Struthio camelus: one gene and its partners. The protein of the gene in region 1 interacts with the protein of each later gene in a pairwise test. Links are inferred from orthologs where the notes say so. Each region holds a gene or a part of one and is shown in the gene's direction. Other genes may lie near its edges.

The links. The genes of interacting proteins can lie anywhere in the genome.
Region 2: the proteins of CEP76 (region 1) and THRA interact in binary tests that used the Homo sapiens proteins (3 or more experiments, as listed by UniProt). The two-hybrid records come from large-scale screens. The link is inferred for Struthio camelus from reciprocal best matches to the Homo sapiens genes CEP76 and THRA.
Region 3: the proteins of CEP76 (region 1) and AKAP7 interact in a two-hybrid assay, tested with the Homo sapiens proteins (3 studies listed by BioGRID). The two-hybrid records come from large-scale screens. The link is inferred for Struthio camelus from reciprocal best matches to the Homo sapiens genes CEP76 and AKAP7.

Annotation. Positions count from the first base shown.
Region 1 is NC_090943.1:113,582,866-113,590,842, forward strand, and holds the start of CEP76 (centrosomal protein of 76 kDa), read left to right. Parts: upstream 1-4,959; 5' UTR 4,960-5,021; coding exon 5,022-5,084; exon of another isoform or gene 5,085-5,172; intron 5,173-6,771; coding exon 6,772-6,927; intron 6,928-7,251; coding exon 7,252-7,333; intron 7,334-7,703; coding exon 7,704-7,928; intron 7,929-7,977. Other genes in the region: PSMG2 (proteasome assembly chaperone 2), read right to left, coding at 1,100-1,218, 2,168-2,226, 3,055-3,226, 4,668-4,742. UniProt on the Homo sapiens protein: Centrosomal protein involved in regulation of centriole duplication. Required to limit centriole duplication to once per cell cycle by preventing centriole reduplication.
Region 2 is NC_090966.1:6,798,814-6,806,691, forward strand, and holds the start of THRA (thyroid hormone receptor alpha), read left to right. Parts: upstream 1-4,860; 5' UTR 4,861-5,011; coding exon 5,012-5,064; intron 5,065-7,878.
Region 3 is NC_090944.1:71,235,237-71,242,532, forward strand, and holds the start of AKAP7 (A-kinase anchoring protein 7), read left to right. Parts: upstream 1-4,278; 5' UTR 4,279-4,295; coding exon 4,296-4,374; intron 4,375-4,518; exon of another isoform or gene 4,519-4,808; intron 4,809-7,296. UniProt on the Homo sapiens protein: Probably targets cAMP-dependent protein kinase (PKA) to the cellular membrane or cytoskeletal structures.

The DNA of each region.
Region 1 (7,977 bases):
AAAAAAGCTCAGCCATTATTTTTCCCCCTGAGTATTCAAGATACGTGCCAATTTGGGCATCTAAAAAGAGGGTATCAAATATACAAGCACTTAAATAGGAGAACTGTTATAGGCTTCTTAAAATGATTTACAAAAGAAATGGTGGCTATTCTTCCTTCCGATGGGAATTTATTCAATTAAAGTTAGTTAAAGTAAGCTTGGGCTTCACTTTGATATAATGTTTGTAATAAACTTAAACTACAAATATCTGCAGACTTCTGTTAAGTCTTTCAGTATTTCCTTAATGCATTACCTTCACTCATTAGTGTCTCTCTGGTATCAGACTTATTCAGAGTAAGTCACCACAACTGATGAACTCGGAATACATAAAGTAACCATCAGTCTCCCTCATTTCAGTCCATGTCTGCTGACCACTCTAGAAACTCTATGCAAAATCAATGGTAACTATATCTAGAACATGCATAGACCTAGACCTCCTCAGGGCTCTGAACATTTATACACCCTGGTGATAAGAGTTGTTCATTTTGAACAATACTTTTTTTTTTTTTTTTTTGGTAAGTCATAGATTATCAAGGCCTCGATCATCAAGCTATGCTTTTTCTTTTGTTTAACGGGTGGGGGGGGAGGCACACCTAATAAAACTCTGTGTAGTTTTTTCCTAGCAGGTAAGTATTGGTAACTGCCTATAAAAAGATACCTTACTAAAAAAAGAAAACCCAAAATGCAGAATAATTAAGAAGCGGTAAGAAATTCAAATATTCTAACTAAACGTTAAAAATCTAATCGGTGAGCTGTATGTTAGCAGCTAATCCCTGACAGCGCTTGCAGCAATAACAAACTAAGTTGTTAAAATCGAGGCTGATGGTGCAGGCCAAGCAGAAATTTACTTATGGCATATTATTTGCTCAGCATTGTCAGGAGACTAACAAAGCTCAGAGCCTAATGCTGTATAACACACTATTTTAATAATATATTAAGTATCTTATGATCTACCTACACAGTAAAGCAAAAGAACCCTGCCAAAAAGTACTAAGTATATATGCCAGTTTGCCAAAAATAACAGAAAAAACAATCAAATCATTTAAGGACACACACATACCCAAGAAGTTGCTCATCATCGCGCTGGTATGCATGGCTGCTAGACAGAAGAATAACTCTAGCACATTTGCTGGTTTGCACCCAAGAAAGCAGTGCTTGACAGAATGGCCTGTACTTGTTCTTTACGCAAAGAGAGAGGGGGGGGAGGAGAGACCAAAAAAAAAAAAAAAAATTCATGCCCTTAAGAAAAGCCACAAGTCTACAATACTAGATGTTATATTTAGTGTTCAGCAGTGAGGAAATTTTTTTTTCTTCATATCCATTCAGTCTTCAGATATATTTTTAAAAAGCAGAGGACACTGGTTGTTTACTTAATCAAAGATATATGTATAATTATAAAAATTATGAAAACCACATTAATAATAACTGTATCACTCATTCTGTGTGCCATTAATATCAACGGGAAAACCTTTAGAACAATATGGGATGATAAAATTCCACAGTATTTTCCCACAATTTAAACTGCCAAAAATACTACAACACAATTTACTCTCGTGTGGTGTTCTGCCCATTTTAAATCACAGCCACTATACAGTTAACAGTTAATTTTAACTGTTTATATATAATGAATAGAGAACAGCAGGAAATAAATGGGGGTGACAGCAAAAATTAAGCTATTTAAGAAAAGACAAATACACAAAAACAATAAATATGAAGAGAAAAATAAACAGGCGGGAAACAGACCATATTGTTTTGTCAAGACAGTTAATAACTAAGGACATATTTTCACTAAATTCTACTGAATTAGCTGAGCTGTTTCAGAGCTTGAAACAAACAAGCAAACAAACAAATCTCAACCATTAATGAATGTAGGAGACAGCTTTTGTTAGCTAAAATTTTATCAATTACGGAAGACGTTATATCACTAAGCAGAAAAACATTTTGCTTTTTTTTTAAAATGTATATTTTGCTGTTAAGACATTATTTCATAATAGGGAGCACGAATTTTTTCAGTTGTGCTTATTTTAAGATATTATAATAGAGTAAATTCTTCTAGACCATTTGAAAACTACTGGCCAGTAGAACAACTGAACTTGAACACTGAAGTGAGAACAATGAACATACGTACCTTTATAAAAGGTGATCTGATCTGCAGAACTACAAGTTTCCTTGAAGGTAATGAATACACTACAAGGAGAAAATAAAACAGTGCATAACAAAAAAAAAAAAAAAAAGGATCTGAGCTTAGAAGTATCCAGATTTATCCAATCCATAAATCTGAGGTAAACCTTTCAGCTCTCTTACCAAATTGTGAATTATTTCAGGCTTTTCAGTAATGTAAAAAAATACGTATTTTTGTGCATCATCTTCACTGAATCTAATTTCACTTGGCATAAAAACAAAGGATTGAATGAAGTAAAAATTTATTAAAAACAAAACAAAAACTATCTCCTGCAGTGACTCAGATAAACTCTTTATACAGCTTTGCAGAGATTACGACAGATTATCTCGAGATTTCCATGATTTAAAAGGAAAAAACAATATAATTTGAAATGCTATGATCAAGACACAGAAAGGAAGTGAAAACTTGAAGGTAGAAAAAAGAAAAAAAAAAACCCTCCACACTAGGAAAAGGCAAAGATAGGTGGGAAGGAAGAAGACAGGACGAATATCCTTTTATACTCTAATTTAGCTTGCATGCCATGCTTTACTGTAGGTATGGACACACTTTCCACATTATCTAGGATTAAAACTGCAGAGAGATTCAGCAGCACTGTAATATGGTTGAGATTCAACATTTCTTACCGGTTCCATGTTTCAAACTATTTATGCAAAATAACAAAAGTAAGTTTCCTCCACAAAGTGTAAATTTACATTCTTATCTGCGAGTCAGAGATTTGGTTACAAAAGTTATTATTGAACTTCATCTAAAAGGTAAGAAAAAAAAGGAGAAACATTCTTACAACTGCTTTCTACAGGCAAATATTTAAGATCTAGCTTGCATTCAATACATACCTTCAGCATTTATACTCAGCTCCGTTGAGTTTTCTTCTGCAGTTGCATATGGATTATTCCCAACCATTGGCACAAGGCAATCAGTGTAGAAGTAGCCAACTTTAGTCATGTCCAGTGTGGAAATCACGAGGTCTATTGCCAGTTGACCAACATTTCCCACTGACACTGCTGGCTGAAGTAACAGAAGTGTTTTAGCATTACAATAGTAAAGACATAATTCACTTAAAGAATTGCAGCGTGTTTTATGGACAATACAGCATGCTTTTGCAAACAGTGAAAACTTAAGTTAGCTGAATTCCGGTTAACCATATGATTTCTTAAAGTGGCACCATTTTCTTACAGAAGTTACTACTTGTTAACAGCTTACTAATATATAATGTGGTCCCTATGCCACAAATACATACTGGTTGCTTCTGTCAATAATCCTGTCTCATTATAAACTTAAAAAAAAAAAAAGGCTTGGAGACTGGTGTCCTCGTGTCCTCCCCAATCCCCCCTTTTTTGGCTACAGAGTAGATAAAAATCACTCCAAAATCTAATGCAGAGATTGGCAGCCCCAAAGTGACAGTGAATGGCAATGCCGATACTGCACGTTAAATCTATAAATACCAGATTGTCCTAAAAACACAAGTAAATTAGCATATGTTATCACCAATCAAAGCTGATGCTGACCCAATCTGAGAGCATACAAGGAAAAATTCAGTTTGCGAGTTTGTGTCCTTCTACAGAAGCTGAAAATGGAAGACAACTGTAAAATTTTCAGTTGCCTCCCACTCATTTATAAGCAAGCCCGTGCCTATGAACTGCTGCTGCCCAAGGGCCAGCAATCCTGGAAACACAAGGAATTTGATGCCGATAACCTCAGAGCGAAAAAGGATGTAACAGCAGTTACAGACCGTCATTACAAATTGCCTGGTGCTCAACAGCTTGTTATTCCTAGACAAAGAAAATAGCAATGACCTATTTCCTGTTCCCAGTCAGCTGATCTGGAATGACTTCCTGTATAAAATCTTGTACCTCATGTAAATATGCACAGTCATCAGGGGCGATCTGGCCCTGATGAAAGGCGATAAGGTTACCCTTAGATGATAAAGTAAAGGCACTTACTAATAGGAAAAATAACGGCTTGCTACTTCACAGCCTGTACTAGAATTCGTACCCTACAATACACAAAGTAACCTCTAGCAGTTTAATCTTACATCGATTTCACGTTACAAATTATTAAAGTATTTTCTAAACCAATTCCAAGCTCAGCTTAAATATAGCACAGCTAAGGAATCTGCCACTGAAGACTAGTGTACATAGCCTCTCTCCCCCCTTCCCCCCAGGCCGTTGAGAAGTTTCCGGGGCCGACCTCCGGACAGGGGAGAGGAAAGCGTCCCCGGCCTGCCGCCCCCAAAGCGGGAGCGAGCCGCGCGGACAAGCCCCCGTCCGCGCCCGCCAAAGCCTCCGACGCTGTTTCAGGCCCCAGCTGTAGGAAGCCCCCCCCCCGCCCCGAGAGCCACGGCCTCGAGCAGCAGCACGTCCCTCACCCCCGCCCCGGAGCGCTCCATTCTGGCAGCACCTCCCCACGGCCGCCTCGGCGAGAGGAGGGGAGCAGCAAGGCCACTTACCACGAGCAGAGTGAAGCCGTCAAAGTCCGAGCTGGCGGAGGGGCCGCCGCTGCCATGGTCACACGGAACAAACATGCCGGCAGGAAGAGAAAAGAGCCGCCCCCCTCCTCCTACCTCAGGCTCCCCCCCTCCCCCGGTGAGGCGAGTGGGCGAGCACGGCCGCCAACGCAACGGCCGTAACCGCCGCCGCCCTCGCTGCTCCGCCCGCGAGGGGGCGGGGCCGGGCCCGCCGCGGCGGCCGTTAGAAAGGCGGTTGGGGGCGGGGCTTAGCCCGCGGCGCGCAGGCCGGCGGCCTGGTCTTCCACCCCCCGCCCCTTTGCCGGAGTGCGGGGCGTCGCGGCTCGTCCCGCCGCCATGTCGCTACCGCCGGAGAAGGCCTCGGAGCTGAAGCAGCTCATCCACCAGCAGCTGGTCAAGGTGAGGGCGGTAACAAGGTGGAGAGGCCCCCGGGCACTGGGGCCCGTCCTGAGCGCGGAGCGACTTCGTCTACTCGGAGAAATCCCCGGTGCGTCGGTGATAGGGACCCCCCGGCCCTTGGAGGCAGCGATGCCCGCCCAGGCGGGGGAGGCGCCTCCAGCTCCGTGTCCGCTCCCTCGCCCATCCCTTTTGTTCCCCCCCCCCCCGTACTTCAGCAGGTTCATGTACTTCCCGAGGTGCTGTTTTGCCATGTTGGCGCTTGCGGCCCCCCCCCTCCCCCCAAGAGGGCCTGCGAGGATCAGCGCTCTGGTCTAACGGCCGCCTTGGCCTCCGGCCTTTCCCCGCCCTCTCCTGCCGTCCTCGCTCTTTCCCTTCGTTTCCCCTTTTCTGGGCGATGGAGCTGGCATCGCCCCCCCCCCCCCGGTGCTGGCGCTCCCGCTGTCGGGGCTGCCCCGTGGAGGGCCGGCGGAGGGGAGCGGCGTTTTCGGCCCTGTGAGAGGAGGCGGCGGGGGGAGGGGGGGAGCCACGGCGGCCGGAGGCACCGGGAGGCCGTCTGTTTGCTCGCCGCTTGTTGAGCGAGAAACTAGGGCGGGGTTTTGAAAACAGTGGGAGAGAAATATCAGTGCTTTAGCTCGCATCGCGGAAGTATCGCAGTGTCTCAGTGGCTATAGCCTTGCATCGTTCCTGTGGGAGAAACAACTTTAGGAATACATGCTGTTTCACAGCTGAGCCATCGAAGTACAGAAATTCTGGCTTTATGATCATAGAAAAAGCTTGCGATGGAGGCTCCCTATTTGTATGCCTTACCTGCAACAATCTAAAGTTTTTTTTTTCCTTTCTGTAAAAAGTAAGAGGAGGAAAAGGAGGAATTGAAGATATTGTTCCAGGGGAACACACAGATTTTATTGCTTCTCCGCTCATGGGTTTCCATTTAGATTCATCTTGCAGGTCAAACACGCAGACCTCCACAGCATCAGAGGGCTGACAGTTTCCAAAGAACTTTTGATGGTTGAAGACACATCCTATGGTGCGATAAGGATACAGTGGCTTGGGCTGTTCAGCTAGTGGAGGCTCATCAGGGCTGATAGGACGGTGGATGTACCTGATCAAAAACATTCAGTTTATTTCCCATACACACATTGCCATAAGTTTGAATTTTGAGGGAGAAGAGAAATTAAAAGCATGGAAGTTTTATAATCAATGGATTTGCAGGGCTGTTGGTGAGAAGGGATGTTCGAGGCTGGGGATGCTGTCACAAGCAGTGGAAATGCTCAGGTTTGGAATGCTCTTAACTGGTGCAGTTGCTTTGGTGAGATAGTGTGACTTGCTGCGGTACTTCTCACTAAACAATAAAAAGTTGTTTGGTACACATTTATGTGCAGAAAGAGGTATTCTTTTGGTGCAGTTATCTCTGTATTCCTAGGAGAATACCCGTTACCTTACAGAGAAACGTTTTAGTGCTAACTGTGACCATATAAGGAGCTTCATTTCTTTTATTCTTATTATCATACTTAAGCCTCAATCAAGGAGGAAAATGAAAATAAGTTTGAAGAGACCAGTCTTGCATTCTGCTGTGATACAGCTGAGTGCGAATTTAAATACTGTGGGGGTTATTAAGAAGTATTATTTACAAAGCTTATGAGAGTTTGAACATGTATTTCTAGCATATGATGAATTTTCTGTTCAGATGGATGTTCATGGCAAGATCAGAGAAGTTCTTGCTGAGACTATACGTGAAGAGTTTGCACCTGAGCATCAACAGTTATCCACGGAAGACCTGATAAAAGCCTTAAGACAGCGAGGAATCATTGATGATGTTATTAAAGAGCTTAAATTTGTAACTGTAAGTAGCTTTTGAAACATGAATGTATTTTGGTTATTCCTATTATCGACTTGATGTTATGACAGCTCTTTTACTATAAAGTGCAGACTCAATTACTTCTAAGTGCTTATATTAGCTTTACTGAGTTGTAAGTACTGAGTTGGTTTAGTGTTAATATTACACTGAAAGTACTTGTTCAGTTCCCTTACATCTTAAATCCTACAAGGCAATATATTTGAGAAACAACAGTCAGTAGAAAGAGAGAATTCTTTTAATTTTTAAGAGACAACAGGAATAGCACTGTTGCCTCACTTGATTCTTTAAGAAGTCTAATTGCAATTCCAGGAAGTGAATGACAAGGAGAGGACTTCAGCTCCAAAGCCATCTACGCATTTTGTTGACAGAGAACCACCAGTTCTGAAAAAAGGTATGTTGCTTGTTTATTTTAATGTTTGGATTATAGTTTTAAAATAAATTAAGTGCAGGTTTATTGAGCTCTTTGAATTAATATTACAGAGCGAATTGGATTCATTTAAAGTTTCCATATTGTGCAGAAATAGATGTTTTTCTTACTTGTCTAGATGCAAGTGGGTTCATATAAACAGCAGAAGTTAGTTGCACATAAAATAGCATTTATTGTATATTATCTTCCATAAGTTTTAAAATTGCTTTCCCCTAAGCACTTGTTTTGAAAGAGTTTTTTTTTTTTTCTATTCTCCACTTAGATAACAGATATTTTAAACATACTTCCTAAGATCTGTTTGTAGTTTCTTCATATTTATTGCTACGCTTTACAGCTAATATTAACCCAACACGGAGGTATCTTTACCTTCAGGTTTTGGGCGGAAAAGCTTTTCTGGAACATCTTCAGGAACCGGAGCCTTTGCCTGGCCAAATCTGTTCTACCTTCACTCTGTGTTTGCATTTTCGGAATCAGCGCTTCCGTTCTAAACCTGTCCCCTGTGCCTGTGAGCCAGATTTTCATGATGGTTTTTTACTTGAAGTACACAAGGATAGCCTGGGTAAGGAAGACTGTGAGTTTGCAGTGGATGCCGTTTTTTATTCTAACAT
Region 2 (7,878 bases), on another chromosome or scaffold:
GCGCGCGTGCATCCTTGCACGGACACCTGCCGGGGGCACGGCCGGAGCCCCCTGGGCCGGCGCGGGCGACTGCGCGGCGCGCCGGCGCTGCAGCCCGGTGCCGAGTGGTCCCCGCGCCGGCGAGGGCCAGGGGTGCTTGGCACCCCCGCCGCGGCCACCCCCGCTGCGCCGTGGGGCAGGGCCGGACTCACGCCAAGGGCGGCGCGAGCCCCGGCGGCCGGCGGGCGCCCCCCTGCCGCCCCCGGCGGGCGTCCCCCTGCGCGCGGGGTGCTGCGGGGCCGCGGGCGCCCGGCCCCGGCCCTTCCGGGGGGGCGCAGCACCAGGAAGCGGCCCCCTCCCCGCTCCGCCACGCACTTTCCCGCGGCTGCCGGGAAAGCCTGGAGCAGGCGCGCGCCAGCCGGGACGGGACGGGAGGGGACGGGGCGGCCGCGGGGGCCCAGCCCCGGCCCCGCGGGACCCCCGGCTGCCGTGGGGCGCGGGGTGTGTTGTTTAATGCCTTAAATGCGGGGGGGGGGGGGGGGCGGGGCCAGGACGCCTGGGTCCTCTTCCAGGCGCTGGAGGAGGAGGAGGAGGAGGAGGAGGGTGTTGCGATGAGGGCGAAGGCGGGCGCAGGCAGGACGCCGGGGTGCCGGCCCGGCCGTGCCGAGCGGCGTCGGCAGCCGTCGAGGGAGCCGGGGGCTCCCGTCGGGCACGCGCCCGCCCGCCCCGGCCGGCCAGAGTTCGGGGGTCGGGGCGGGCGCCCGGCCGGGGCACCCGGCGGCCACGCGGGCACCCAGGCGTCCCGGCCGGCCGCGAGCCGGAGCCCCCGCTCCTTCCCCGATTTAGCAACGCCGCGCTCGCCCTGCCAAGCCCCCCTCCCCCAGCGCGCTCAGAATAGCTGCCTGGCGCCCTGCGTGCGCTCGCCGCCCCGCGCGGCCCCGGCCCGGCCCCCCCGGGGGCACCCCGGGGGCTCGGCACCCGCGGGCGCGCCGGCCGCCGCCGCTGAGCCCGCCGCCGCTCGTCACGCGTCAGGCGCCCCGCGGCCGAGCCCGGGGGCGCCGCCGCGCTGGTGCTGCGTGCCGCGGGGCGGCGCGGGCCGGGGGCGCCCGCGGTGGGCACGGGCGTCCGGCGGGGGGGCCCGGCCGCATCCTGCCGCGCCGGCGTGCGAGGGGGCGGCGCGGCACAGCGCGGCAGCTCCCGCGCCCGCCCGCCCGCCTGCCGCGCTTCCCCTCGGCGCCCCGGCGGCACGGGGAAACCGAGGCCGATGCGAAAGCGCTCGGGCTGCGCTCGGGCGGGATTCGGAGCCGGGCGTCCAGCCGGAGCTGCCGCTGCGGCTCGGTCCCGCCGCGGTTCGCGGTAGGATGGGCGCCCCCGGCCGCGGCGTTCGGGGTGCCCCGGGGTCGCCCTGGCCCTGATGTCAGGCGCATGGCATCCCCCGGCGCGCGGCTGCCCAGCTGCCGCCGCATGCCTGGGATTCCTGCGGCCTTGAGTCACGCGCAGCCGCGCGGCCCCGCTGCCACGGGCGCCCCGGTGCCGGCCGGGCACCGCCGGGCACGGGCATCGCGCTGGGAAGCACGCGCAGCGCCGGGTGCGTGCGCTGTGCCGGCACGTGCACACAGTGTCGGGCACCGCCGGGTGCGTTGCTCCGCAGCAGGACGCACGGATAGCGCTGGGCTCTGCCGGGTGCGTTGCACCATGCCGGGATGCACGACAGTGGTGGGCTGTGCCGGGTGCGTTGCACCGCAGCAGGACGCACGGATAGCGCCGGGCTGTGCCGGGTGCGTTGCACCATGCCGGGATGCACGACAGTGGTGGGCTGTGCCGGGTGCGTTGCACCGCAGCAGGACGCACGGATAGCGCCGGGCTGTGCCGGGTGCGTTGCTCCGCAGCAGGACGCACGGATAGCGCTGGGCTCTGCCGGGTGCGTTGCACCATGCCGGGATGCACGACAGTGGTGGGCTGTGCCGGGTGCGTTGCACCGCAGCAGGACGCACGAATAGCGCCGGGCTGTGCTGGGTGCGTTGCACCGCAGCAGGACACACGGATAGCGCCGGGCTGTGCCGGGTGCGTTGCACCGCAGCAGGACGCACGGATAGTGCCGGGCTGTGCCGGGTGCGTTGCACCGCAGCAGGACGCACGAATAGCGCCGGGCTGTGCCGGGTGCGTTGCACCGCAGCAGGATGCACGGATAGTGCCGGGCTGTGCCGGGTGCGTTGCACCGCAGCAGGACACACGGATAGCGCCGGGCTGTGCCGGGTGCGTTGCACCGCAGCAGGACACACGGATAGCGCCGGGCTGTGCCGGGTGCGTTGCACCGCAGCAGGATGCACGGATAGTGCCGGGCTGTGCCGGGTGCGTTGCACCGCAGCAGGACACACGGATAGCGCCGGGCTGTGCCGGGTGCGTTGCACCGCAGCAGGACACACGGATAGCGCCGGGCTGTGCCGGGTGCGTTGCACCGCAGCAGGACGCACGGATAGCGTCGGGCTGTGCTGGGTGCGTTGCACCGCAGCAGGACGCACGGATAGTGCCGGGCTGTGCTGGGTGCGTTGCACCGCAGCAGGACGCACGGATAGCGCCGGGCTCTGCCGGGTGCGTTGCACCACGCCGGGATGTACGACAGTGGTGGGCTGTGCCGGGTGCATTGCACCGCAGCAGGATGCACGGATAGCGCCGGGCTGTGCTGGGTGCGTTGCACCGCGCCGGGACACACGTGTTGCACGGGCCGCATGGGGCACCCGCTGCACCGCACGGGGACGCAGGCGCGGGGAGCGGGCCGTGCAGGGCGCAGGCGGTGCATTTTGGTGGGCCAGGCGCCGCCGCGGATGCCCCTCGTCCGTCCCCGCCGGGCTCCCGCGGCCCTTTCGTCGCCGCTGCGGGTCGCAGCCGGAGCCGCTGCTGCAGAGCGGCGGTGGCGGTGCCCGTGCCGGTGCCCGGGCGGGCGGCGGGGGCCCGGCCGCGGCGCCCTGCCCCCAGCCCCGCGCTAATCGCGCTAATTGGCACCTTGGCTAAAGCGCTTAGGCCCTCACCTCCGTGACCCAGATAGCAGCTGGGCCGGGGGGAGGGGGCGCCCGGACGCCTGGGACCCCGGCGCCCATCTGGCCGGGGCGCCGCGGGGCCGGGCACGGGTGCCGGCGCGGCCCGGCCGTGCCCCCCGCGTGCCGCGGCTCCCGCCGCCGGCCCAGCCCTGGACTTTGCCCCCGGGTTGTTTTCCAGCTCCTGCAAGCGCCCGACTCAGCAGAAACCCCGGCGGGGCGCGGGCCGGGCGGTGGGCGCGGGCCGGGGTCCTGCGGGCGCTGCGCCGGGTCCCCGCGCTCCCGCCCTGGGCCAGCCGGTCCCGGCAGCGACGCCGGCCGCGCGGGAGCACCCGGCCCGGGGGCTCGGGGCGCCCGGCATCACCGCGCGCACTGCCGCCGGCCTCAGCCCGGGCAGCGCCGCGGGGGGCTGAGACCTGACGGCGCTCGTTACACGTGGCCCGTTCTGCTGCCCGCAGGCAGCGGGAGACGGTGCCGGTGGCACGGGGCCCGCGGCGCACCGAGGAGGAAGAGGAGGAGGAGGAGAGCCGCCTCCCCGTGTCCGTCTGCCGCGGCCGCCCCGCGCCGGCGGGATTCCTCGAGCGCCGCAGCCCGCCCGCCGCCGCCGCTTCCTGCGGGCACCGCGGCACACGGCCCCGCGGCCCTCGGCACCCGGAGCTCGCCGGCCGCCGCCGCAGCCGCCCTGAGCCCAGGCTTTACCCCCCTCACCCCGCGGCGCCGCACCTTCCCGGGCATCTGCCAGCGCCACGCGTGTGCCGAGCGGGTCAGGGCTCTGCTGGCCGGGTCCCCGCAGCAGGGACGGGGCCGCCCCGGACTCCTGGGCCCCGGGGGCCGGCCGGGGGGGCCGGGTGCCCGCGGGGCGGCGGGCCCGCGCGCAGCCCTGGCACCCAGCCAGTGCCTATACTTGGAAGTCTCCGCGCGGCGTTCCCATATGGAACAAACATTTGCTGCAGCCCCCGGCCGCCGCGCCGCGCTGGCTCTATAGGTACCGCCCGCGGCCGGCCCCAAAGCCCGGCCTGGAGTGCCGTGCGTGGGGCGCTGTGCCCCCCCCCCAGCCCCAACCCGGGGCGGGAGCTGGGCAGGGGACCCAGGCGTCCGGGGCCGCCGGCGGGCGGGCATGCACGCAGGCGCGTGGCGTGCCGCGGGGCGATGCAGCATGCCTCGTGCGAGAGCCTCGTGCGAGAGCCTCGTGCGACGCATGGGGAGGGTCGCGCCGGCCGCGAGCCCCGGCCGGGGGCAGGCGCAGGGGAGCCCGGCGCCGTCCGGGCCCGCGGCAGCTCCCCGGTGCCGGCGCAGCGGTGCCCCGGCGCGGCCCGGCCGCAGCCGCGCTTTAAATCCGCCGGAGGAATTTCTGCCGCGGCCAAGACAAACGTGACCTACTTTCTGCCTGTCCCCGCTCGGAGCCGGAGGAGCCCGCGGGCCGGGCACGGCGCCTGCCCGGCCCCCCGCCGCCGCCCCGGTGCTGGGGGGGACGCAGCCGTGCACCGCGTGCGGGGGGGGGGGCCGGGGCGGCGCGGGGGGCCCCCGCCACCTGCCTCAGTTTCCCCCATCGCGGAGGGGTTTGGGGGGGGGGGGTCGGGCGGCGCTGCCCCCGCCCCGGCCCCCACCGCCGCCACGTCTCTGCCGCAGGAGAGCTCGCCCAGGAGGGATCGCCGGCCCCCGCCGCCGTAAGTCTCCCCCGCCCGGTGCCGGGGCCACGCATGAGCCGAGCGCGTCGGGGCTCAGCCCGGCCCGCTCGCGCCTGGCCCCCCCCCCCCCCCAACCCCGCAACCCGCGCACGGGGCGCGCTGAGGCCTCGCGCAGCTCGGTGCAGGCCTGAGCGGGCGCCGGCGGGCTCCCTCCGCAGGCTGGGCCGCGGGATGCTGCGCGGAGCTGAGCACTGAGGCGGGCGCCATGGGGCGCGCGTCGTAGCCGCCCGCCGCGGCCCCCCCGCGCCCAGCGCCGGTGGCGGAGCCCCCTCGGACGGTGCTGAGCGCTCCTTGATGGAATTGCGGTGAATGGAACAGAAGCCCAGCACCCTGGACCCGCTGTCGGAGCCAGAGGACACCCGGTGAGGCCCCCCCCGGCCCCCCGCCGCGCCGCCGGCTGCCCCTCTGCTGCGGCAGCCGGGAGCCCCGGGCGAGCCCCCCCGTGCCCCGCGCGTGTCCGCCCCGGTGCATCCCCGTGCCCTGTGCACACCCGTGCGCGCCTGCAGCCCGTGCACACCCGTGTCCCGTGCACACCCGTGCCCCATGCGCGCCTGCAGCCCATGCACACCCGTGCCCCATGCGCGCCTGCAGCCCGTGCACACCCGTGTCCCGTGCACACCCGTGCCCCATGCGCGCCTGCAGCCCGTGCACACCCGTTCTCTGTGCACACCCACGCCCCGTGCCCGCCCGCAGCCCGTGCACACCTGCACCCCGTGCGTGCCTGCAGCCCGTGCACACCCGTGCCCCATGCGCGCCTGTGCCCCATGCGCGCCTGCAGCCCGTGCACACCCGTGCTCTGTGCACACCTGCGCCCCGTGCGTGCCTGCAGCCCATGCACACCCGTGCCCCATGCGCGCCTGTGCCCCATGCGCGCCTGCAGCCCCTGCACACCCGTGCTCTGTGCACACCTGCGCCCCGTGCGTGCCTGCAGCCCGTGCACACCCGCAGCCCGTGCACACCCGTGCCCTGTGCGCACCCGTGCTCCATGCACGCCTGCAAGCCGCGCCTGTGCCTTGCATGCTCGTAGCCCATGTCCTCCGCATGCCCCGTGCACGCCCAAAGCCCGCACGAGCCCCTGCCCCGCGCGTGTCCCACGCACACTTGCAGCCTGGGCACGCCTGCAGCCAATGCAAACCTGTGCCCCAGGCGTGCCCGTGCTCTGTGTATGCCCTGTGCGTGCCCAAAGGCCATGCACGGCCGTGCTCCACGTGTGCGTGCCCCAGGCGTGTGTGCCCCGTGCATGCCCAACGCCCATGCGTGTGCATGTTGTGTGTGTGTCCCATGCATGTCCAACACGATGTGTGTGCGTGCTGTGTGCGTACCCTGTCCATGCCCATGCGCTGTGCGTGCCCAGCACCCATGCATGTGCGTGCCCCATGCGTGCCCAACGCCCATGCATGTGCATGCCCAACACCCATGCGTGTGCGTTCCCTGTGCACGCTCATGCCCCGCACCCATCCAGCACCCATGCGTGTGCGTGCCCTGTGCATGCCCAGTGCCCATGTGTGTGTGTGCCCCATGCATATGCATGTCATGTGTGTGCCCCAAGCATGCCTGTCCCCTGTGCACACCCAGTGCCCATGCATGTGCGTGCCCCATGCACGCCCAGCACCAATGCATGCCCATGCCCCAAGCGTGTGTGCTGTGTGCATGCCCCATGCATGCCTGTGCCCCATGCGTGTGCGTGCTGTGTGCGTGCCCCCTGCATACCGATGCGCCATGCATGTGTGTGCCCCATACGTGTGTGCTGTATGCATGCGCTGTGCATCCCCGTACATGTGCATGCCGTGTGTGTGCCCCATGCGTGTGCGTGCGCTGTGCATGCCCGTGCCCCGTGCGTGTGCATGCCGTGTGCGTGCGCTGTGCATGCCCGTGCCCCGTGCGTGTGCATGCCGTGTGCGTGCCCCATGCGTGTGCGTGCGCTGTGCATGCCTGTGCCCCGTGCATGTGCATGCCGTGTGCGTGCCCCATGCGTGTGTGTGCGCTGTGCATGCCCGTGCCCCATGCGTGTGCGGGCGCTGTGCATGCCTGTGCCCCGTGCATGTGCATGCCGTGTGCGTGCCCCATGCGTGTGTGTGCGCTGTGCATGCCCGTGCCCCATGCGTGTGCGTGCGCTGTGCATGCCCGTGCCCCGTGCGTGTGCATGCCGTGTGCGTGCCCCATGCGTGTGCGTGCGCTGTGCATGCCCGTGCCCCGTGCGTGTGCATGCCGTGTGCGTGCCCCATGCGTGTGCGTGCGCTGTGCATGCCCGTGCCCCGTGCGTGTGCATGCCGTGTGCGTGCCCCATGCGTGTGCGTGCGCTGTGCATGCCCGTGCCCCGTGCGTGTGCATGCCGTGTGCGCGCCCAAGCTCCCTGCAGCCGTGCCTGCGGAGGGGGAGGGCCACGGGCAGGGCCCAGGCGTCCGGGGGCCCCGCCAGCGCCGGGGCTATTTCGGGAGCGCTGCCCAGAGACGCACGTGCCCGGGGGGCCCGGCCGGGGTCACCTTGGGCGCCCGCCGCCCCCCGGACGCCTGGGCCCCCCGGGCGGGGGGCGATGCCCCAGCCCCGCCCGGCCGGGCCCGGCGCGGCAGCCAATGGGCTGGTGGCGTGCGGATGAGGCGCGGACCCCCGCCCGCGCCCATTGGCCGAGCCCCCGTGATGTCACTTCCCCGCTGAGCCAAAAGGACATTTTGTCTTTGACTGTAAATGAGCCCCTCCCCCACCGCCTTCCCGTCCCCTCCCCCACCACCCCTCCCCCGCACCGCCCCTCCCCCACTCACTTCCCCTCCCCTCCCCCACCCCTCGCCCATCCCCCCCGGATGCCGTGGCCCGGCCGGCCCACGCGTGTCCCCCTGCACACGTGCCACCAGCCCCGGGCCGGGGGCTGGCACACGCGTGCCCACATGGGCACACGCGGGGTGAGGGGTGCCCCTGTCACAGCGGCTGGCCGGACACGGGTCGCGGGGTGCACGGGGACACGGGATGCAGGGGCCTGGTTGCACGGGGACACGGGGTGCACAGGGACACGGGATGCAGGGACCTGGTTGCACGGGGACACGGGGTGCACGGGGACACGGGGTGCACAGGGACACGGGATGCAGGGGCCTGGTTGCACGGGGACACGGGGACACGGGATGCAGGGGCCTGGTTGCACGGGGACACGGGGACACGGGATGCAGGGGCCTGGTTGCACGGGG
Region 3 (7,296 bases), on another chromosome or scaffold:
GCTTAGGTCTCCATCCTTCAATAACTCAGCTTAAAGCTCTTCTCAGAAGGCTAGGAAGCCTGTTGGCAGAGACACCTGTGTCCCACTTTGTCAGGTGAATCTTGCTGGTAACACAGCTGCACAGTCTGCTCCAGCCCAAGCCTCTCCCCGTGACTGGCAGAATCAAGGAGAACCACTTGGGCCTTGTTGCCTTTCACCCTAGTCCCCAGAGCTCCTAATCCACTCTGGGTCTCCCATGTCAGTATCACCATGTCCATAATAAGCAACAAAATGTTAACAGTCTGATTCAAAATGTAACAGATTCCCAGACTTTGGCCTACTGGCTAAAAGCACACTCTGGGGCCAGTATTTGCTGTCCTTAGGAACAGGCCATGTGCGATATGACCACAGCTCCTGTGAGCAAGCAGCATTTTCTCACCAATTTCTTTCACTGCCCATAGACAGCAGAGGACCTGTGGAGCTGTAACTCCATATCCTGTCAAATAAAGCCCTTGAATGAGAGACATGACAGTGAAGTTAAAATCCTTTTCCATCACTTGGAAAAGAAGAAACGAGCTCAGCCAGGCAACAGGGAATAGTAAAACAAAAAGACCATATGGTAGTGTCTACTTCTGCTTCTATATAGATATTCAACAAAGGAGAAAGGCTGGAAGAAGAGGATTGAAAAGTCAGGTAAACTTTAGGACAGCAAATGTGGGAAGATACTTTTATGTTGATAGGTGGGCACTACATAAAAAGGAGAAGGATATGTATCTGTGGGAAGAAACTTGGAAGTGTCTGAAACAATGCCTTGACATTAATGGTATTTGAGTATGCATGCTGATCTTTAGGCAGTGGCTCTCATCCAAATGGTAGCAAGTTAAGAACTGCTGCTCTGGATAATCAAATTTTCAGTGGATTCTCCATTCTGTTCTCCCCTCCTGCAATATAAACGAACTGCTTATCATTAACAGATCATGAAAATATCCACACATGCTAATATTTTCCACATTAATTTTCATATTCATGTTAGACGCCAATTAAACATTAAACTACAACCGATAGCATCTTCATGCTCTTCTTCCATTCACACTGGTTACTGCAGAAACCCTAGCAATATTTGCTTTTCGATCTCACACTAAATTACTTTATGTCAGGCACTCCACTACCTTTCATTTTCTGGTATCTGTAGTTCTGCAGCTTACACTTCTCATTGTTCTGTAGTAAATTCTTATTATTATCAGATCATGCTCAATTCCTCTTCTTCATTTGTCAGAAAACAAGTTTTTGTGTCAGCAGCAATAGTAACAAAGCCTTGTTTCATACCAAATATGTCCTCCTTTCTTGTCACAATAACTCAAGCTTCCCCTATACTGTCCATGCCTTAGAATATCCTCAACTCCGTCCCACATTCCACAAAATATCCCAATGTTCTCTTCCAACATTTAGATCTTCCTGTAATAGAATCTTCCAGTTCCTGTCCCTTTATTTCCTAACCTCCCGCAAGTCAGTTGTGCCCCAGATACCCTTAGCTCCCCCATATCTCTTGCTTGGCTGAGATAAGAGGTAATGTTTTGCGACTGCTTACCTGTGACCTAAAAAGCTGATCAATACTCATGGCCAGCCACGGTTTACTGGAACACAGACAGGCAGTGTTGTTTCTCTCTTCTCCCTATGAGTGTCTCTCTCCTTCCTAACCACTCATTTTCAGGAAAGGTATGGGAACATCCTCCTCTGGGTCCTCTTACTCTCTGCCAAATTTGATTGAAATTACCAGGTGAATTAAGAAACAATAAGATGGGTGAGATGCTTACAGGCATGGGCAGTGTGGTTGTACTAAGCAAATACATTGGTAGGGCTGGCTGTGCTTCCTCTTTCTGTTAGTGTCACTCAGCTTTCATTGGGAGTTCTGAATTTTGTCTCCTCAAAGGGAAAACTGTCTCACTGAAAACTTAAGCAGAAACTCTTAATAAAGGCAAGACCAGAGTAAAACTGATAAAGTGCTGGCTTTAATGCAAACTTAAGCAGTGATAAAAACCTGTGTGGTTTGCTTCAATGAGGCACCTGATCAGTGACCACTAAACTTGTGCTGTATTTGGGCAGGCAGAAAAATCAGTGCTTGTTATTTAGCTTTACAGTCTTCAGATGAGAATTTTTCCTCACAGCCACTTCTATGACTTGTAGGAATAATTCATGATAACAATTATCAGCTCCAGCTAATGTGCTTTTAATTTCTCACTTCCTGAAAAGGTTTATTCAGCCATCTTATGAACCCAAAGGATACATCAACAAATTAGTGCTATGTTAGTGGGTATTGGCTAGGTATAATTTTAGTTCTGCTAAAAATGCATTATGTTTTCCTCCACTGCTATGAGGAATATTAAATGCTAACTTATCTAAATATTGCATTGTACTGCCCTGTCAACCATACAAACAGAAATGTTCTTATTAGAGTGTGCTGAAGATTTCAGCAAAATACCTAGTGATTTGACTGGGAGCAGTTTCAGATCCAAAACCATTTTCTAAATTTGTATTTCTACAAAGACATCTAATACCAAAAGTTTATCCTGTTATTTGATCTATAACTTCATAGAATCAAATTTTTATTGACATATTTTACTCACTCAAGAGATGACCACTTAAAACATTTAGTTTCCTAAGGATAGCTGATATTTAGGTGAAACACATAATATGGAAAATTGCCATCAGCCTTATCCTAACTAAAGCTTCTGTCAGATTACACAGAACTTTGATTTCTGTGTCACAACCAGTCTTTGGGCTCCATAGGTCTGTGCAGACCAAATTCATGTGTGAAAGACAGTGAAGGCAAATGCAACATGAAATAGGCCAAACTAGCAGTGAGATACCCCCAGACAGATTTTATCTTCCAGAAGGGGAATGCATAGACAAGCCAAACACAGAAACTCACACATAAATGCTTGTAACATGCAGCTTGTGCATGCAGCTTCCTCCCTTCTGTGGCTTTTTTTTTTTTTTGCCATCCCTACTCCCTTTAAAAGTGAAAGTAAGGATTTGTATATGCATGTAAACAATCAGCTCCTTCAGATCTGGTCTATATGCAGAGACTGATCTGCAGAAACACAAGGCAACATTTGGCTTGGCTTCTTCCACAGAATGTAGAAACAGAATTTGGCTTCCAAGAGGCACAAAGTCTTTATTTAAGTAGGAAAATAGTGTCTTGCATTCCTTTGCCTCAGAGAAACAGCCTCTCACGTACACCCAAAAGGTTCATTCCCAATAGGAGATTGTGCAGTCACAGTAGGAGCATTATTGCCAATGGTAAGAGTGGCCCAGAGCTATGTTAGAAGGCTGGATGACCACATAAAGGATGGATGTTTAATGCAAGACTATCTGTTCTCCCTGGACCACAGCTAAAAGGATGGAAATCATTGCTTTGGTTTGTAAAGTTCTTTGAGTAGTCCTAAGGTGCAAGTGGTTAATTTGAAGAGTCATCACCTCAAAATACTCTGACTAGTTATGGGCATTCTGTTTAGCAGAATGCAGTAAAAATTTTGTTTAAATTCCGCACGGAAAAAATATATATTTCCTGTTTCAGTGCACAATATCTAGATGCCTTCAACTGGGTATAGGATGGCTCAGCCAAAAAAAAAAAAAAAAAAAAAAACGCTATGGAGTTTAAGGTACGGAAAGAGGAAGGGTAGGGAATCTGCCCAAGACGTGGCCAAGGCAGCCCGGCTCTGGTGGATCAGCGTCCACCGCCTCCCCCCCTTCACGGGCAGGACGTACGCGCCGAAGGGAGGGCCAAACTCCCCCGGGGCCTAGGTGGGGCCCAGCCGCACGCACGGCAGCCGCCACGGCCCCAGGCCTCCAGGCGCTGCGCCTGCCCGTCGCGGCCGGGCCCGGGCCGGGCCCTGGGCGCTCAGCCGGGCCCCGCACCCCCTCCCGCGGCCGAGACACCGCCGCCGCCGCCGCCGCCGCCGATCCCCGAACCCGCCCCGCGGCCGCCGCGCCGCCTTCCCGCCGTGCCCCGCGCGGGCCGCCGCGCGCGCGGCATGCTGGGGCTTGTGGTCCGCGCGGGGCGCCCGGCCTCCCTCCGCGCGCTGCCGCCCGGGGCTTTCGCCGCCTGTTGCCCGACAGGCGCCGTGGCGGCCTTTGGCCCTTGTCGCGCCCCGTCGCCGCCCGGCGGGCGCGGCCTGCTTGCCGTTACCGGGGCATGCAGCGGCTGCTCCGGCGGCTGCTCCCGGCGGCTGCTCCCGGCGCTCTGCCCCGCGCGGGCCGCGGCGCCGGCTCCCGCCCTCTTCGCCCCGCCGGCTCGGCCCGCGCGCCCGCGCCCCATGGCGCTGCGGCCGGCGGCGGCAGGAGCGGGGGGCGGCGCGGGCGCCTCGCGCGCAGCCGGCGAGTCCCCCGAGCACGGTGAGGAGGAGGAGGCGGCGGCGGGCTGGGCGGCGCGGCGCGGCGCGGCGCGGCGCGGCGCGGCGCGGCGCGGCGCGGGGGGGACGGAGGCCGGCGCCGGCCGCGCTCGCCAGGCCCCTTCCCCGCCCCCCGCCGCCGGAGGGCGGCGCGGCTCGGGGGGGCTCTGCCAGGGGCCCTGCGTGCGGCGATGGCGCGGGCTCGCCGCCGCCGGCCCGGCCACGGGCAGGGCCCGACGTGAGGAGGTGCCGTGGCGTGGCCCGGCCTGTGTCCAAGGCAAGCGCTCCCGGCCCTCACGGTGCCTCCGTTAATGGCAGCCGTCTGCCGATCGCAGCGGAGCAGAAAGTCCTGGCGAGCTGTGACCTGGAGTGGTTTTAACGTGTGTTAATGCGCCGTCGCCTTGTAACGGTCAAGTTACGCACAGCTTTAAAACCCAGGTGAAACATGGTGCAGAGGAGTTCATCCGAAGACGTGTGTGCGCGCGCGCACAGGCATGCCTGCGCACCTCACACTGAGCGCCAGGAGGAGCTAGATTTCGCAGCAGTGGTAGTAGCGATCACAGGGAAGATTGACTCAGTCCAGTCGTAGGCTGTTGCTAAAAAGGGCTTCTGCTTTCATCTTCTGTGCTTGCTGTACTCTGTCCCCAGGCTTGCAGTCAGTTTAAGCATCCGATCTGGCTGAGTACTAAACCTACCAAAGTTTTTTTTTTTTTTTTAGAGGAAGTTTTTTTAAGCTGAGTCAGTTCTCTGGCTGTGTAATTGCTATTGCTAGCACCAGCGGTTCAAGATGTCTGGAGAGTAAAACGGTCTTCTTCTGCAGCAGCTTTCAGTTAAAATGTCTCCAAAAGATTCATTTGTTATTAAACATAAGGGAATAGTGCCTGGAGACCTAACCTCACTGTAGTCTCTAATGTGTAGATGTCAAATAATAGAAGACTGTTTTATCTGAGAGGGCAAAAGGCTGGGAAAGGAGTACAATCAGTTATCTTTTAAAAAGCAAGACAGCCGTTTCTGCTGCTTGATTTTTTTATTCTCTGATTTGTGAACTAGGTGTATCTTGATTCTAATGGAACAGAGGACTCAAATATTCAAGCAAACAGCAACCATTTAAGCAAATACAAATATAACAGTACTGTAGAGTCCTGTTCACATATGAAGTTCAGGCTAATGTAGTTAGTCATGGAATTAAAAGTAAGTTTATCTTTTGACAGTTTTAATGCTCAGACAGTTCCTATGGAAGCTGATTTTGTTACTTATGTCTCGTATTATCAACATTATGTCAAGACTTTTGAAGAATCTTGTTTTCGGTTTGTTTTAGTGACTAAAATACAACTTTTGAATTTTGTTACTGATTTCTTTCATAAACAGTTTATTTCAGAAAAGGTGAGGGATGGAGTTATTTCCTTGGGACTGTAGGATTTAGAAGCAGTGCCTGTTAAATTCAGGTACTTGACTTGGGGAGGGCCGTTGTTAAATACTAGCTGTGCCCTTCCTATGCCAAGCTATTACTGTGAGCAGACGGAGTTTTTCAGCTTTTTAAGCAGTCAGAAGACTAACCAGCATGTGGCTGGGGTCAGGGAAAGGGAGCAGGACTACCTCCTTTGGCCTCAGTGAGCTGTTAGATCGATTCAACCCACAATGTTGAACCTCACCCTCAGTGTTGATTTTTGCTTTCAGCTGGCTATCGTTTTGCCTTTCTGAATCTTTTTGGTAACTGCCGCAGAGTGACCTTCTTGTTTGTCTGTTTTGTGGATTTGGTCTTGTCTTTTAGATTGTGATCTCTTTAAAGGAAGGATTGTTATTTTCTGTATGCTTGTGAATCGGCAACAATAGAGGGATTCTAATCTGTTTTGTGTAAGCTGCATTTGAATCTAAATGTTAGGCAAAAAATATATTGCTGCTTTAAAATCTCTTTGTTCTGCATGATTCTTTAGTGTCTGCAGGGGGAACTAGCAACCAGTCTAAATACTTATTCTCTTTAACAGCCTCTGGCATAACTTGAGGTGTCAGGCTACAACCACAGAGTGATTTATGCCTCCCTACTTCAGGCTGAAATGAGTTAGCCCTTAATCAGATTGTTCTATTAATTATCTTCCCTAGCACAAAATGATATATGCAAGAAATCTCTCCAGGGTGATAATAACCCAGGTTGAGTCTGTACCATTGCATACATGCAATGTAGTTTTGCATGCCACGAGAACATAATACGCACTTTTGCTGCCAGATTTTCCCCTTGGGGCAGATTTGGAATATCGGCACTGGTCACAAGAGGAGCTTTGAAAGTGTATTGTCTGTAGTAATGAGCTGTCCTGTGATAAACTGAATTCTGACGTAACGCTTCTTCCACTACAGTAATCCCATTGTGGAGTTGTCCCAAAGGAATATTGCTGGATCTCTGATTATGTCCAAATTTTTTATGAAATATGCTAGAGGAGATTTTAGTATTTTATTTTTTAAGGTATAAGTTATATATGGAAATGACTCATGCATAGTTAGTACTCTTTGAGGGAGTGCAGAGGGACTTTTTATAGCTTTTTAGTTTAATTGTGGTACTGCTAGAAGATAGATCTGTGTATGTGTATATCTATAAATCCTTATACATGCAAAATGAATTGTGAGTTACATTGGTTCCTTTTTTAGCTTAAATGCTAAAATTTAACTTTTTAGAACCACAGGTTCAGATCACTGTTGTCTGTAGCACACCGTGCTGTGTATATCTGCAAGAAGAGGAAGAGAGTAATCATCTCGTTCCTGAATGATATAGTCATCTGAGAACTCATTGTTTTTATATGTAAATGGAAGGTTCCCTTTCTGCTCCTTTTTGCCTCGTTTTCCATGTGGTTATATTGAAAGTCATTTGTCGTTGTTTATCTACATTGACGTTCATTTGTTGTTACTGTTATCTATAGTGAACTTCAGGTGACGG